Linked DNA regions of Neodiprion lecontei. The protein of the gene in region 1 interacts with the protein of each later gene in a pairwise test. Links are inferred from orthologs where the notes say so. Each region holds a gene or a part of one and is shown in the gene's direction. Other genes may lie near its edges.

Region 1 (4,108 bases):
TTAAATGGGAAATTACAACATGATTTACGTTCTGAGGTCAGTTAAGAATGTTGTCCTCCGAATGTAAGTCTCTCTTGACGTTTCAAACAAAGCGTTCTATTATTAATTCGATGTCATTCTGGACAGAACTTACATTACCGGTTGAAAGTATTTGACCCAGTCAGTCAATAAATTTAATGCAAGGTACTTTTATAATCTCGACGCTGAGTCTCTCGCGTTGTTTCAAAGTGAAACGCCTGACGCCATGGCCGACGGCAATTCGGTAAGCGTCTCGCGTCGTCTGCAGAGACGAAACTCCGTAAAATAGAGTTTGGCCAGATATTGGCACAGAGTTATTTAGTAGACGACTCTGCCGCACCGAGCGCACTTGATGCGCGGTCCTCTCTGAAAACACAAAATGGCGTCGTAAGAATGACGTGCCAGCATCTGTATCCGTTGATCCTTGGGTTTTTTTGGCACTGCTACAGGGTTGACGGAAGATTGAAATGTAAGATGCCGTTTAATAGTTCGTTGTGTTCAAGCTTCTCAAGAACGCCTTTTTCTATCTACCGGCCTGTAAATCAGGGTATCTTTGATATATGGCTGAAAAACGACGAAGCTGTGATAGAAAATCCCAGTTTGTTTCAGGATTGCTTTGTGAGTATTTCTCTGAGAGGACTCTCCCTCCCTGTCTGTTATTTGAATCTAATGAATAATAATATTTAAGAGAACCGAACATAAAGTACGCTCGGTGCGGTGAAGCCTTGTACTAAATGACTCTCTGCCAATTGCTAGCCCACTTCTTACTAGTGAGTACGGCACTCGGGCAGTGAACCGTGCATAGACAAACCACGGCACCGCAAGTGACAGTTTTATCTAAAATTGGATTCTTCCGAACTTCTTGCTGCAAGTCGATACTCATTGTCAGTATACGATTCTTCATTCCTCATCTTATCGCATTTTCCTGCAACGTTCTAATTCTATATTTATACTGCGCATTCTATCATTACGAAATAATTGTCATGCAAAAACGCAAGAGGCGACCATTTACAAATTGCCGAATGTTATTGGTATACTCATGTATCAGGTATGCCAAGAGATTATCTTGAAAGTTCACAGTTGGTCACGAACTCTCTGTTCGCACCACTCAAGTTTTCAGTTTGTTTATCGCAGGCTGGCCATCCCATCTTTAATTTCAAACTGTGAAAAGCCGTAAAATGATTGCATCGATGACGACGACGATTACATTGTCATTTTATTTACGGGGAATTCCCTGTCAAAACAAAAATGTCGACGATTATGTTTCCGTTTTATTTACGAGGCATTTCCTGTCAAAATATAATCGTCGTCGTCGTCGATGCAATCATTTTACGGCCTTTCACAGTTTGAAATTAAAGATGGGATGGCCAGCCTGCGAGAAACAAACGACGAATTTGAGTAGTGCCGAGTCGGCGGTGAGCAACTGCGAACTTTCAGGATAATCTCTTGGTGTGAAAAATATAGTAAGTTTTGAATCGATTTAGAACTTTTGACATCTGTTAATGGTGATCTGAATTATGTAATTCGATCAATCAATTTTCGAACATAATATGAAAAATGAACCGATCATTAGATTTGAAAAAATATGCAGCACATATTCAGTTCTCACGCTTATGTGATTAGTATTCTATATCCTGCGTATCTGCAGTTATTAAAATTAAAATGCGTGAATAAATGTTCTGTTCTATTTTTCTTCCAGTGAAACTCGTATGCCTCTTCAACGTCAGGTCTGAAAAGATGCACGTACGAAAGCTGCGTCTAATGAATGGAACGACCTATAGAAGGTAAAAAAAATTCTAAAGTTATTTTCTGGTCATTTAAGGTGCAGTACATTTGTATGTGAATTTTTTGTCCAGAGCTGCGATTAATTCACGCGAATCAATCGCGCCTTTAGCGCGTCAATTTTGCGAACGTCACACGAAAATCGTATTTATAGTCAGAAATATAAATCTCGAATAGTAGCAATTCATTATGTGGCAAATGTAATTTGCATTGTCAGCTAAGTTCGTGATTGTAAATAAAGGTTAGTTGTTGACAATGGTTTTTACTTACCACCACGAATCTCGGCAAATGAGTTTCAAAAGTTTGTTGCCAGAGGGCGTTTTCACGCCTCAACTCAGCTAACTTCACACCATTACCGCTCATTTCGCGATCAGTGCTCGTGTATAGCGTGTTATATTTCACCGCGGCTCTTCGTCAAGTCACGAGCGAACGAAATATTATTAAATAAGCAACCCCAGAAGCTGTTTGAAAAGTAATTCAATATGGTAAGACTAACTCCATCATTTTATTATATATTTGCGATACTTTAATATTTTTCTCCACGTGATTATTCGGCCAGTTCGTCGAATTTCTCGAACGTGACATTTGCAATATTTTTATTAAGGTTATGTTTACCCTCGTATTAATGACAAGTGCATCTTTTCTACATCGATGAATAAGTACTGAAGCTTTGTTTAATACGCTGTGATCCTATGTGAATATATCGTTAATAAGAAATCTAGCCGCCTGTTTCATTTCACGATTCGCATTTTTCTGTCATTTAAAACGTCCATAGTTACGAATTAGGTTAGGCGAAATTATCCTTCAACAGCAAATCAACAAATTTCTGCTCACACTTTTCCGCTCAGAGTTTTGGTCTACCTTCCGTGAAACCCAAGCCCTCGGCTGCAGATATAATCAGCATCCCCGACGACACGCATGGTGTTCCAAATGCACTTGTTTCAGGGTAAGTCACAATCAAGTATAAAGATATTTGTCATTGTTCCATTGGTTGATTTTCATCAGTATTCGCTTTTCGCCGTATAACAACTTTCTCAAAAAGAAGGAGAATAGTTGAATGAAATTTAATTGCACAGGCTATCTTCAACAAGAGCAAATCTTGGATTTTCACATCCTCTGCAAGCCTCCGAGCAAAACGTAAGTCGTAGTCAGACTGACTATTGCTTCTTTATACTAAGGCATTTACAGTTTTCACATCTTTTTATTCTGATCTCCAGTATGTGCAGAATAAATTGCGCATGGATATGGTTATGCTGAGAAACACGCAAGGACTTCACGCGCCAATGCGTCTAGCCATGGAGCTCAAAGCCGCTGACAAAGTTGGGAGACTACCGTTTCTTCCATCTTCTGGCCTCATGCGGGATGTTATTCTTGGTAGAGACGAAGAAATTGGGTAAGAGCTCTGATGACTGTGGATCACGGACCAAAAACAACGCAGCTTTGGATCTGAATGGAATTTTATCTTGCGTCAAACAAGTGACGACATTAATTTTACAATTCACAGATTCGAAGACATCTTCAACAACGCTGAATTTAGGGAACAAATGTGTCAGCCTCACGCGATGGTTGAAAAGAGTTTGGGAATTCTCTAAACATCGATTGGATCCTTATTTTTAAGCTTGTAATATCATAATTTGCACTCTGTTATTGTGCTCAATGGCAAAGGCAATTAATGAATACTTTTTTCAATATCTGTGCATTTCTTTTTATTTGATATTTACGAATGAATCCTCGTTTGCATGATTAAAAAATTTCGTCAAATTGTCGAACAGTGGCTTACGCAGATACTTAAGAATAAATATCAATTAATCACGTTACATGTATGTAAGATTTTTAATCCGCATATTATCTCCGAGCAGAAAAAGTAAAAATTGTCCATGTGTATGAGACAAGTGAACAAATTACTTTAACAAATTTATCGAGCATCCGACCAGACGACGTCTAGCAGGCGAATCCTGCATATCTTTTTGACTTCTTGAATCCCGACCTCAAGTTCCGTCTCGGGAGAATTGTTCAAACGATTTTCTATGCCGCTCAGAATCGCTGCCACTTTATTTTCCCGGGCACATATGACAAATGGAAAGTGAAATTTTTCCTTGTACCTGAAATTTCAAACAACGTATCGACCTTTTTTTTCCCTCGTGTAGCAACTGAACAAGATATTTTAAAATTGGCGTTTTTACTCACATGGCATTGAGATTCGCTAACGTTTGTTTTTCTTCTCGCGTCATCTCGTCGAGTCCTGCACACTTTTGTTCGTTCTGTGATTCGGTGGTCAATTTTCCCTCGGCCAATTTACCCGCCAAAT
Region 2 (4,312 bases), on another chromosome or scaffold:
TGTATTCTTGGCGAAGTAGGTGGTAAACTACTCGCATAATCAGGTGATGAAAAATTTATTCTATCTGATGTAGAAAAGCACCTGGTGCCACTGCTCAATTTGGAAAGGTTATCTTTTTCTGATCCCAAAACTACTCCCTCATCTGTGCAAGGAACAACGCCTATCATTGTAGAGCCTGAAACAATGTTGCCATTGCACGCCAAAGCTCTGTGTGCATCTTGCTCTGACGCACATTTTAGATGGATCCAATTACCCTGAGCGTGAGGAGCGCCACGTTTCTCAACTACACGGACTCTGCTGGATATATGAGACAATACGGCGTTTATAGCATTTGGAGGAAAACCAAAGACTGTGACCCATTGCTGAAGCCCTTGCAACGGTTCGTTAAGAGAAAGGTTTGCAGGACTATCCAAGAACAAAGTGTTGTTCAAATTTGATCCCGTCAACACTCTCGACTGATTACTAGTAACATTCTGACCCACACTGGGACTCTGCGGCACCATTGACTGTGAAGTTTCAAGTGTATCGAAAAGTCCTCTAGTTGGAGGACCACCGGATTGCCCCTGTGAGCTGATTTGTGGACCACTAGGGCTCGTTACATTACCAAACATGGCTTTTTGGCGATTCGTACGGTAGTCTGGAGTGCAGTAGTTCGAACTAGGTGATGATAAGCCTCCACTGGTAATAGATCCGAATTGTGTATTTCTTGGGGTACCTTGGGGACTCATTATATTTAATCTAGCGGTCTGAAGCAGAACAAAATAAATACGAATAAGTGAGATGCTGCTTGGTAGAATTCGCACTTGTAAAATACAAACAGAGATCTAGGCTTACAGCAAAACAAATAAATTGCAAGTGAATGAACAAGGTTACAGGTTTGCGTTCTTAAAAATTTTGGAGTTTACAGAACTGAAGAATTACAGAATTATTATTTTTTTGAGAAAAAAAATTGAAATGTCGTTACAAGATGACTTCGAGTTGTTAAGATTCTTACAGGATTAGCATCTCCCAATAGGAAATTAGGTAGATATGTGGAGTTTGGTCCTGGACTTCCTGGTGTTTGGACTGGACTTCCAACAGGAGATCCAAGAGTCATGGGCTCCATCTAAAAATACACAAATTCATTCAATTTGCCATCAGAAATACACAATACAGGTAAAGTTGGCTAACAAAAGAGGTTATAATCTAAATAATAATTAGTTTTTATACTTCGTAGAAAGAGAAATGCTCGGATGTTAGACTTGAGCTATTTCTGAAACTTCATCATACCTTGATCTCTTGTAAAATATTCTTCTCGATATAAATAAATACGTTTGACAAGTGATCGCAATCAAAATCAACAGCCGAAAATTTTAAACGGTGAAGTATGGAGTTTATCCCTCCATATCCTTAACCATGGGTTACAATACTTCAAGAAAAACCACACTTTTTTTTACGATTTCCAGGTATGAGTTACTTTCCTCAAATCCGCTATGAAAGAGTGATGCAGTGTCGAAATTTGAACTCTTTCCGTTCATTTGTTTAATATAAAAAGAAAAGGGGTGAGTTTGCTCGGTCGGATAGGTAGAAGTACTACATGACATTGGTCGTCTGGTTTTCGCCGTTACGCGAGAATGAGATTGTCATTGTAATAACACAGCGACTCTCAGATCTATCTAGGTAACTTTTTTCGTGGCGTCGCAACAGTGACCACGGAGTTGTCGGTAGAATTACAGAACATATTAAACGTCGCTAAAATATTACGGATAAATTTTGGGAGTATGGCATTTGTCGAAGCCCCCTTTCAATCAAAAACCATGGATTCGATGGTGCCGGATTGGCTTTCAGCCGAACACAGTACCGGCGTAAGTTCGCCTTCGAGTTAAAAATCAGCCGTTTAGCGTACCAGAAAGTTTGAAATTATTATATGACGTTCACTTAGGTTAGAATGACGGTGCATGTAATTCTTTGACCATCACCCATGATTAGTATTTTCAATGGATGTAAACGCTTAAGAAAAGTCTTCTTGCACCTCCGAAAACAAGCAACCGACACATCTTGTTTTTCCTCATTTAAAAATTGGTATTTATTCATTCCTCTTTCCAGACATCAATCATGGCTTGTGAATTCGAAGGCGGTGTAGTAATCGGTGCTGATTCACGAACCACTACAGGGTATGTTGTTCAATGTAACCCAGATCTAAACTTCTCATTTTTATTTTCTGTGATTCTTGAAGTAAATTTACCTTGAAAAAATTTGGTTATTTGTCCTCTTCAGGCACAAAATAACATTTCACTGACTGATTTTCAGCGCTTACATCGCCAATCGAGTCACGGACAAGCTCACCAAAGTGACGGATCACATTTATTGCTGTCGTTCAGGCTCTGCTGCAGACACCCAAGCTATCTCAGATATAGTTTCGTACCACCTGGCTTTCCACCAGTGAGTCTATCAACGAGATTGTCATTATCTTCGAATTACTGGAGATATATAATTCTTAATTTATCTGCAAAGCGTGGGGTTCAGAGTAGTAAACTGGAGTTTAATACATTTCAAATGTTTTGTAGCACTGTTTGATAAGGATAATCAATATTTTACTCGTTATGATCCACAAATAATTTTAAGCTTTTATAAATGAAACAAAAAAGTTGAAGCCACATAGTTTTATTATTTGCAATATGTTTATATATGCTGAAGAATTTTAATCAAAGTTTCAAATGACTTTATGAATATGGGAAATTGAACAAAACATCTGCAAATTATTTGTGGACCAGAAAGAACTACTTGTAAGTCTTGGGAAAATCACTTTGGGATCCTAGTTAATACCTCACGTGCTGTATGTTTTTCATCTCTGGGACCTGTCAATAAATATTTGAGGAAATTAAAGCTAAAAATTCCACTGTGATAATCAAATTCGTGTTTTGAATTCTCAGAATGGAACTTGGTGAACCACCTTTAGTCGAGACCAGTGCAAATGTATTTCGTGAGTTGTGCTACAACTATCGAGACTCCCTTATGGCAGGCATTTTGGTAGCTGGCTGGGATCGTCGTAAAGGTGGTCAAGTTTACAGCATTCCTTTGGGAGGCATGTGCGTGCGCCAACCAATTGCAATCGGTGGCTCTGGTTCAAGCTACGTTTACGGTTACGTAGATGCGCATTATAAGCCCAACATGACCAAGGATCAGACAATAGAATTGGTCAGCAACAGTAAGTCATTCATTTCTTATTTGCCCCATGTTTGGTGTGTTTCATCTCCTTTCAATCACTGCATTCCTTTATTTCTTTTTGCAGCACTGTCATTGGCCATGTCACGTGACGGTAGCAGTGGTGGAGTCGTAAGACTTGGTGTTATAACTAAAGAAGGCGTTGAAAGACGAGTCATCCTCGGTAATAAGCTGCCTCAATTCTACGAGGGATAAATAAATTATTTCTACAACCATTTATTACATTACATGTCTTAAAGTGCCCTGTGTACTGTTTTAGCTGTTCAGCTGTAATCTGTTTAACTGGTTTTCCTTCAATTTTGGTAAATAAATGACGGAAACGAAATCAACTTTTCACGTTTACTCACCTCACAATCTCCAGCTGTATTCTTAAGAATTTATTTCGCATGGAAAGAGAGTCAACACTTGCTTCAATTATTGATGAATATAATTTATGGAGTTCATGAAATTTCTATCAAGGCATTTTAAAAATAACATACCATTATGCCAACAAGCATTCAAGGTCAATTCTCGAGGTTAAAATTTTGTTTCTAACCCTTAATTCAGCTTCCAAGGCTTAATAATTTCATTTGCATTTGCATAATGACTTTAAAAAAACATGCATTGCCTAATTTACTTTAAATATTATGCTGATTTCTATGCTTTTGCATTCTCTTGTTGTTCAAACTTAGGATACTTTTGTGCTACTTCAGCCCATGTTATTTTACATAGAGACAAGTCTTTCACCACGGTTGGGAGCTCGTCCAACTGAAACAGAGAAGAACACATGTTTAAACTCCCAAAACGTTTTAAAGATATGGAAAAAAAAGATGTTTTCAAAAGCTCAATTTTGGTTTGGTAAGATAAGTATAGCACATTACAGCCGGCTGATCAATATAAGAAACTTACATTTATTCTGACTTGATCCATGCTATCCCGTTCTCTAAGGGTTGCTGTATGCGGAGTCTTCAGAGAATCAAAGTCTATTGTAATGCCAAAAGGTATGGCAATTTCATCTGTACGAGCATATCTTCTACCGATACTGCCTGAAGAGTCGTCTACTCTATGGGATATGTCGAATGCAGTCAAATCTTGTGCTAAAATGACAAAATAAGGTCAATTTTAGATA

The links.
Region 2: the proteins of proteasome maturation protein (region 1) and proteasome subunit beta type-6 interact in binary tests that used the Homo sapiens proteins (3 or more experiments, as listed by UniProt). The link is inferred for Neodiprion lecontei from reciprocal best matches to the Homo sapiens genes POMP and PSMB6.

Annotation. Positions count from the first base shown.
Region 1 is NC_060265.1:6,325,556-6,329,663, forward strand, and holds proteasome maturation protein, read left to right. Parts: upstream 1-2,127; 5' UTR 2,128-2,282; coding exon 2,283-2,285; intron 2,286-2,648; coding exon 2,649-2,746; intron 2,747-2,876; coding exon 2,877-2,937; intron 2,938-3,017; coding exon 3,018-3,193; intron 3,194-3,304; coding exon 3,305-3,392; 3' UTR 3,393-3,491; downstream 3,492-4,108. Other genes in the region: 2-oxo-4-hydroxy-4-carboxy-5-ureidoimidazoline decarboxylase, read right to left, coding at 3,716-3,902, 3,988-4,108. UniProt on the Homo sapiens protein: Molecular chaperone essential for the assembly of standard proteasomes and immunoproteasomes. Degraded after completion of proteasome maturation. Mediates the association of 20S preproteasome with the endoplasmic reticulum.
Region 2 is NC_060263.1:40,316,657-40,320,968, reverse strand, and holds proteasome subunit beta type-6, read left to right. Parts: upstream 1-1,669; 5' UTR 1,670-1,760; coding exon 1,761-1,844; intron 1,845-2,085; coding exon 2,086-2,153; intron 2,154-2,289; coding exon 2,290-2,421; intron 2,422-2,716; exon of another isoform or gene 2,717-2,912; coding exon 2,913-3,187; exon of another isoform or gene 3,188-3,271; coding exon 3,272-3,399; 3' UTR 3,400-3,529; downstream 3,530-4,312. Other genes in the region: nucleoporin Nup35, read right to left, coding at 1-746, 995-1,105; glycine--tRNA ligase, read right to left, coding at 3,841-3,951, 4,093-4,280. UniProt on the Homo sapiens protein: Component of the 20S core proteasome complex involved in the proteolytic degradation of most intracellular proteins. This complex plays numerous essential roles within the cell by associating with different regulatory particles.